2 linked regions of the Macaca fascicularis genome follow. The protein of the gene in region 2 binds, or shares a complex with, the protein of the main gene of each other region. Links are inferred from orthologs where the notes say so. Each region holds a gene or a part of one and is shown on either strand. Other genes may lie near its edges.

Region 1 (3,543 bases), on a different chromosome or scaffold from region 2:
CGTGACTGGGGGCTACATGCATCAGCTAACAGAACAAAAAGTTTTACAATGCTTTTTTCATACAGTGTCTGGAATTTACAGATAACACAAGCAGTTTAGGTCAGGGGTTGATGTTATTATTATTACTTTTTTTAACTCCTAGGGTCGGGTGGTGGTGCCAAGGTTGTCTGGCTGTTTATCTTTCTTTTGTTTCTTTGTCTGTTTCTTCCTGTCTTGTGAACTAGGCAAGGTGGGGGGAGGAGGGCAGCAGGAGTAGTAGTGGTCTCCTTCCTTAACACAACACGGGGGCCTTCAGAAGACCCAAAGATAGAGGGGAAAGTGGGCATTTTTACACTTAGGTATCAACAAAGTATGAACAGCTGTGTAGAAATGTGATTGGACAACAGGGGTGAGATCTAATGAAAATAGACTGAGTGGGGAAACCCAGCAAGGCCTCCCTGTCTAGATTCTTCTTGGCCTCCCTGAGCAGTCGTTCTTTTTTCTGGGTGTGGGGGGCAGGACCTTCTTTGGAATGAGGATCTTATGACCTACAACCACACAACGTAGGTCAGATAATTTCACCATGGCCACTTTTTACACAGAAAGGCTGAAACAGTCTGAATACAGAGCACGAAGGGATATTTTGATAATTCTTACTCCACAGGTATCCAAATTGTTACTCAGCAAAAGGACAGGTCTCTTTCTAGGAGTGCATTCTGCTGCTAACAAATATGATATGCTTTGTATTTTTTACCCAAAAAGAATTTGAGATTTGGGATTTAAGTTTATCTTCAGTTTCTCTACTCAATTCCCACCTACCAGTGGTTCTGATCAGTAGATAAGAACAGCTCCATCCTCTCGATGCCCCCAGAGCAGGGGGAGGAGGGTGGGCGGGAAGTGACCAGAACTGGGTGAGCTCACCCTAGAAGCTTCCTCCTCCTCCCTATTCAGTTACTCCCCGTTTCTTCTCCAGATCTGGGAAGCCTTCCAGCTGGGGGCAGCAGGACAGCCTCCATTCCCCTCGACCCCACCTTCCACCCCCGGGAGAGGTACTGTTGGGAGAATACCCTCCTAAAAAGAGACTTGGGTTTTGCTCCCTAGGAGCCCTGGAATAGCCTTGGCCAGAATTCCACATCTCCCATCAGTACCTCTCCTGAGGAGAGGGCCTCCCTTTCCCGTGATCACCTTTTGCGTCCTTTGTTAACCTCCAAGTCTACTTGGTGAAAACGGCCCACGAAGAAGTAACAAGGACTTTGTCCCTAGTGTGTCAGGTTTGGGCACCAGTGCTGTAGTGGCTTTCTCTGCTGCTCCTTGTGCATCAGCAGACAGATGTGGTTTACATAGGAGGAAAGACTAATGTAGGCAAAGATTTGCTCTTTCTTCAGCAGCCCTGGAAAGATGGTGGCCTGGGTGATTCACCACTCCTTCCTCACGTCCTTGATTTTATTTCAACTGAGTTCGATATGCTCCTCCCACCCTTTTCCTCTTGGAAGCCAAACCCCTTTGTAATCTGTATAAGGTCCATACCCCAGGAGCTGAGTGACTGCAGAAACTGGCCTTCCATCTCTCTCAGACACCAAGCTGCGGATCCAGGTAAGCAGTCCAAGAGGTGTTCTCAGGTGCCGCTTCTGCTTCAGGGTTGGAGAGGAAGAAGCTAGGGCCAGTCCACAGCACTGAGAAAGCTTGGATGATGCTAGCGCTGAAAAAATGTGGCCCAGGCAAACATCAGCTGGAGGCAGAGGGGTCGGGGTGGAACGTGCAGGCTGCAGAGCATCCATGGAACTGGAAAAGAAGGAGCCCTCAAGTTGGGGGAAGCCAGCATTTCTCTTTGGAATACAACGGAATCCTTTATGAGGCCAGTGTCAGGCACTGGCCTGAGTTCCCTTATGCTGTAAGACAACAAGACTCTGTCACCCATGGTCCTAGATGTTGGGGATACAATTTGGTTCATGATTTATTCAAACTGATGTTTCGATGAGCCATTTGAGCACTGGATACAAATGTATTTTGGATCAAAGAAACACCAGTATTCAAAGATAGAAACTGACAGGATTTTAGGTCACTTCGTAGGTCACCACCTAAACGGGAAAAAGACCTCGCTTTGGAGAGTGGCAATAAAACGCTTGTGGAGAAGGATACACGTGAGTGTCTCATTACACAAAAAACCTCAGGAAGTGGGACGGACATCTTTCTGGTTGACCTGAGACAGAAACTGTAAGCCAGGGAAGCCATAGGTGGGAGCTGGAGTTCTTTTTCTAAGAGGGCTCTTTTCCTTCTGTCTCCTTTTCTCAATTAGGCTTTTCCGGGAAAGTGAGGCCACCATGGCTCTGGATAAGTCTGTCATCCTGCTCCCTCTGCTTGTCCTGGTGCTGCTGGTGCTGGGCTGCCTGGGCAGGGAATCCCGGGCCAAGAAATTCCAGCGGCAGCACATGGACTCAGGCAGTTCCCCCAGCAGCAACTCCACCTACTGCAACCAAATGATGAAGCGCCGGAGTATGACGCACGGGCGGTGCAAACCAGTGAACACCTTTGTGCATGAGCCCCTGGTAGATGTCCAGAATGTCTGCTTCCAGGAAAAGGTCACCTGCAAGAACGGGCAGACCAACTGCTTCAAGAGCAAGTCCAGCATGCACATCACAGACTGCCGCCTGACAAACGGCTCCAGGTACCCCAACTGTGCATACCGGACCAGCCCGAAGGAGAGACACATCATTGTGGCCTGTGAAGGGAGCCCACATGTGCCAGTCCACTTCGATGCTTCTGTGGAGGACTCAACCTAAGGTCAGAGCAGCGAGATACCCCACCTCCCTCAGCCTCATCCTTTCCACAGCTGCCTCTTCCCTCTTCCCTCTTCCTTCCCTGCTATGAAAGATGTAACTCCAGTTAGGGCTCCTAGTCAACACACTCATGCTTCCTTTTCCTGAGTCCCACCCCTGCGTGATTTTGGGGGTGAAGAGTGGGTTGTGAGGTGGGCCCCATGTTAACCCCTCCACTCTTTCTTTCAATAAAACACAGTTGCAAGCACTTGATTTCTGAAGCGGTTCTGTCTAGGTACTGTTTCTGGCATTGGCTTCCAGCAAGGGGCAAGAACTGTAAATCTGATTCGCTTTGGAGAACGGTGAATGAAGTAATTAAATGCTTTCCCTTCTGACTTGGATTTTAGTGGCTTGAGAAAATTCCTTTCCTTGTAGATTCCTTGATGCCAAACCTAAAACTATTAAGTGTGGGCTGTTCTAGACAAAAGGGAGCAACAGCCTGGGACACTGCCATGCAGGGTGAACTGACAGAGGGGTGAAGCTCAAATACAGTCATTCTGTGGCACAGAAGGAAGGTGAGTGCAACCTCAGGAAGACCCTGCTTAGCCTCAGGATGAGGAAGAGGAGTCAATGAAATGATGATCCTAAATTTCCATTCTCCTTTTTTTTTTTTTTTTTTTTGAGTAAGCTATTACTAAATCAGAAAAATGGGCACCTCTTAGTTGGAAAGTCAGAATCTTACATTTTAGAGCTAGAAGTGACTTTGGAGAGCATGGAATTGAGGGATAGCAAGTAGATTTCAGTTTGT
Region 2 (3,644 bases):
TGTGTATTTGTCATGTTAGAAGCTGGTGTCACTGTGTATTTGCTCCGGTGTCTGAACTACCTGCTGCGTCCTGTTCCAGGCAGTTCCCGTAGGTGTCACCTCAGACAGGTTTGATTTTTTTCCCTAGAGACAGACCAGGAGCTTTTGTGCTTCGTGCCTCAGGGTTGGAGGCGAGGAGCACGTGAGGCCTCAGGCACACGTCTGCATACGTGCAAGCATCTTAAAACTTTCTTTTTTTTTTTTTTTTTTTGAGACGGAGTCTCGCTCTGTCGCCCAGGCTGGAGTGCAGTGGCCGGATCTCAGCTCACTGCAAGCTCCGCCTCCCGGGTTCACGCCATTCTCCGGCCTCAGCCTCCCGAGTAGCTGGGACTACAGGCGCCCGCCACCTCGCCCGGCTAGTTTTTTGTATTTCTTAATAGAGACGGGGTTTCACCGTGTTAGCCAGGATGGTTTCGATCTCCTGACCTCGTGATCCGCCCGTCTCGGCCTCCCAAAGTGCTGGGATTACAGGCTTGAGCCACCGCGCCCGGCCTTAAAACTTTCACAGAACAGTTCTCCTCTTTTTTGTTTCATTTCTGCAACGTCCTGTGTGACTTGCCGTGCTGTCTTCTGGGCCCGCTGATGGGTTGTAATCTGCGCGTAGGGTAGTGGAGGAGCCTGAGCGTGGCCCGCATGACCCTGGGGTCTGGTTGCAGGCTGGACGACTGTGGCCTCACAGAGGCACGGTGCGGCGACATCAGCTCGGCACTCCGAGTCAACCCTGCACTGACAGAACTCAGCCTGCGCAGCAATGAGCTGGGTGATGCCGGCGTGCACTGCGTGCTCCAGGGCCTGCAGAGCCCCTCCTGCAAGATCCAGAAGCTGAGGTGAGGTGGGGCCTGGCACTGCCTCTGGCCTGGTGCGGCCTGCTTTGGTAGCCCGGCAGCAGGGGACAAAGCTGCCAGGGGCTCGTGGGCAGCTGTGGGTGGGCAGGCGGTGGCAGCGGGCATTTCCAGCATCAGCCAGAGGCACACAGGCCTGGTGGCCTCACGGCGGGGGGACAGGGCCCCTCCTGCCTTGTCCCAGCCCCTGCGCCCAAGGTCTGGGCCCGCCCGCCATCCCTGGCCTTCCAGCATCACCACAGGACCCCTGCTGAAGGGTGTGTCTGCAGACAAGGTTTCCCTGAGCCGAGCCACACGTGTGCCCTCTTTCACTCGGCCTGGAGACCCCAGAGCCCTGTCCAGGGAAGGAGCAGTACAGACCTACCGCCTGCAGAGCGCCGCTCCGGGCTCCAGGCTCTGGCAGGTGAAGGGTGTGGCAGTTTGGCTCAGGGGAGCCCTGCTGACGGCCAGGTATGCTCCAGCCTCCAGAACTGCTACCTGACGGGGGCCGGCTGCGGGGTCCTGTCCGGCACGCTACGCTCCCTGCCCACGCTTCAGGAGCTGCACCTCAGCGACAACCTCTTGGGGGATGCGGGCCTGCAGCTGCTCTGCGAGGGACTCCTGGACCCCCAGTGCCGCCTGGAAAAGCTGCAGTGAGTGTGTCCCCTGCCCCGGGACCTGTGCTCTCCACTGCCTGTCCCCCAGCCAGCCCCCTATATAGCACATCGCCTGCCAGGAGCCGTGAGGAGGGACTCAGGTCACAGGGTCCTTGTGGTGCTCTCCCCTCTCCATGATGCTGGGACTGGGGGGATCTGTCGTCACCCTCCCTCCCCCTCCAGTTGCCCTTTGCAAGGCACAGCTGCCCCAGGACCTGACAGTGGGAACAGACCTGGCCGTGAGTCCGGCTCCACTCACCACTTCAGTGTGTGTGGGGGGCCCGGCCACTGTGAGTTGACCACGGCCTGGCACGTGCAGGCGGCCCTGCCCTCCAGAGGCTGGTTTCTTTGTCCTGGGCCTGGTTGGGCCCCGAGGTCCGAGGTCGGGGAGGGGGTGAGGGGTTTCCAGAAGGAATGCCGGTGTCCACAGAGGCCTGGGCCTCTGGATGAGTCTGGGGGGGCCCTCAGCACTGCCACCTGATGCCTAGGCAGGAGAAGGCTGAGGGAGAGATGAGACACCAGCACCCCCCTGCACTCCCTGGCATCACACCCTTGGCTGGTGCACATTCCTGTGTGGTGCTAAGCTCGGCTACCCCCCAGGCTTGAGTATTGCAACCTCTCGGCTGCCAGCTGCGAGCCCCTGGCCTCCGTGCTCAGGGCCAAGCCGGACTTCAAGGAGCTCACGGTTAGCAACAACGACATCAATGAGGCCGGCGTCCGTGTGCTGTGCCAGGGCCTGAAGGATTCCCCCTGCCAGCTGGAGGCGCTCAAGTAGGCCCTGGGCCTTGGGGAGGTGCGGGGTGTGGGCCGGGGGTCCCATGCTGCTTCACGCGTGACCTGCATCCCCAGGCTGGAGAGCTGTGGTATCACGTCAAACAACTGCCGGGACCTGTGCAGCATCGTGGCCTCCAAGGCCTCGCTGCGGGAGCTGGCCCTGGGCAGCAACAAGCTGGGTGATGTGGGCATTGCAGAGCTGTGCCCAGGGCTGCTCCACCCCAGCTCCAGCCTCAGGACCCTGTGGTGAGTCACCTCCCCGAGGCCTCCTTCCTGGAGGGTCAGGGGCCGCGGGCCGTCCTCAGAGCCCTCCCCCACCCGCTGGGCGCGCCTCAGGCCATGAGATGGCGCTAAGGAAAGTCTGGGGGGGTCCATGTCCTGCAGGATCTGGGAGTGTGGCATCACCGCCAAGGGCTGCGCGGATCTGTGCCGTGTCCTCAGGACCAAGGAGAGCCTGAAGGAGCTCAGCCTGGCCGGCAACGAGCTGGGGGACGAGGGTGCCCGGCTGCTGTGTGAGACGCTGCTGGAGCCCGGCTGCCAGCTGGAGTCACTGTGGTGAGTGTGGCTGTCGGGGCAGGGCCCTGTCGCCCAAGAGAGGGCCAGGGTCACCAAGGAGACCAGGGGAGGAGTGAGCGACTCCAGTGGAGGTGCTGGGCTCAGCTCTGGCGTTCAGAATGCATGGGCCAGGGAGCAGCCTGTGGTTTGATAGTAACGGTGCTTGGGGCTGAGGACCAGGTGCAGGTGCCCACACCTCAGGAGGCTCTCAGATGTTTTTGCTCAGGTCCATGTGGGGCTTTCAGGAGAAGGGCCAGTTGCAATTGTGGGCCAGCCTGGTCCGCTGCCAGGCCTCAGTCCTGTCCGTCCACAGGGTGAAGTCCTGCAGCTTCACAGCCGCCTGCTGCTCCCACTTCAGCTCGGTGCTGACCCAGAATAAGTTTCTCCTGGAGCTGCAGATAAGCAACAACAGGCTGGGGGACGCGGGCGTGCAGGAACTCTGCAAGGGCTTGGGCCAGCCCGGCTCCGTGCTGCGGGTGCTCTGGTGAGTGTGAGAGGGACACGAGTACACATATTTGGGAGGTCATGTGCACGTGTGTGAGCACATGGGCGAGTGAGCACAAGTGTCTGAGCACGAGTGTCCGTGTGTGCGAGCACATGGGTGAGAGTGAGCGCAAGTGTCCGTGTGTGAGCACATGTGGGTGTGAGCACGAGTGTGTGAGCATGAGTGTGCACATGGGTGAGGCGTATGTGAGCACGTGTGTGTGAGCATGAGTGTGAGCATGGGTGTCTGTGAGCACATGGGCAAGAGAGCACAAGTGTCCATGTGAGCATGTGTGAGCACGAGTGTCCATGAATG

The links. The genes of interacting proteins can lie anywhere in the genome.
Region 1: the proteins of RNH1 (region 2) and RNASE1 are in contact, whole or in part, in a crystal structure (PDB 3TSR), measured with the Mus musculus proteins. The link is inferred for Macaca fascicularis from reciprocal best matches to the Homo sapiens genes RNH1 and RNASE1. Residues at the interface, in NP_001165571.1 of Mus musculus: Cys7, Asp32, Thr60, Asn89, Asp117, Glu145, Tyr146, Asn174, Glu202, Trp257, Trp259, Glu283, Ser285, Trp314, Lys316, Glu340, Glu397, Ser401, Asn402, Gln426, Val428, Tyr430, Asp431, Ile432, Tyr433, Trp434, Thr435, Asn436, Glu437, Arg443; in NP_035401.2 of Mus musculus: Arg26, Glu27, Lys32, Gln36, Pro48, Thr49, Gln53, Lys56, Arg57, Met60, Asn62, Gly63, Ser64, Cys65, Lys66, Pro67, Val68, Asn92, Lys94, Asn96, Leu111, Lys112, Gly113, Asn114, Ser115, Lys116, Asp121, Ala134, Glu136, Val143.

What each region holds. Positions count from the first base shown.
Region 1 is NC_088381.1:88,468,487-88,472,029, reverse strand, and holds RNASE1 (ribonuclease pancreatic), read left to right. Parts: upstream 1-1,524; 5' UTR 1,525-1,572; intron 1,573-2,037; exon of another isoform or gene 2,038-2,120; intron 2,121-2,275; 5' UTR 2,276-2,300; coding exon 2,301-2,759; 3' UTR 2,760-3,003; downstream 3,004-3,543. UniProt on the Homo sapiens protein: Endonuclease that catalyzes the cleavage of RNA on the 3' side of pyrimidine nucleotides. Acts on single-stranded and double-stranded RNA.
Region 2 is NC_088388.1:396,461-400,104, reverse strand, and holds part of RNH1 (ribonuclease inhibitor), read left to right. Parts: intron 1-695; coding exon 696-866; intron 867-1,342; coding exon 1,343-1,513; intron 1,514-2,116; coding exon 2,117-2,287; intron 2,288-2,365; coding exon 2,366-2,536; intron 2,537-2,674; coding exon 2,675-2,845; intron 2,846-3,158; coding exon 3,159-3,329; exon of another isoform or gene 3,330-3,644. UniProt on the Homo sapiens protein: Ribonuclease inhibitor which inhibits RNASE1, RNASE2 and angiogenin (ANG). May play a role in redox homeostasis. Required to inhibit the cytotoxic tRNA ribonuclease activity of ANG in the cytoplasm in absence of stress.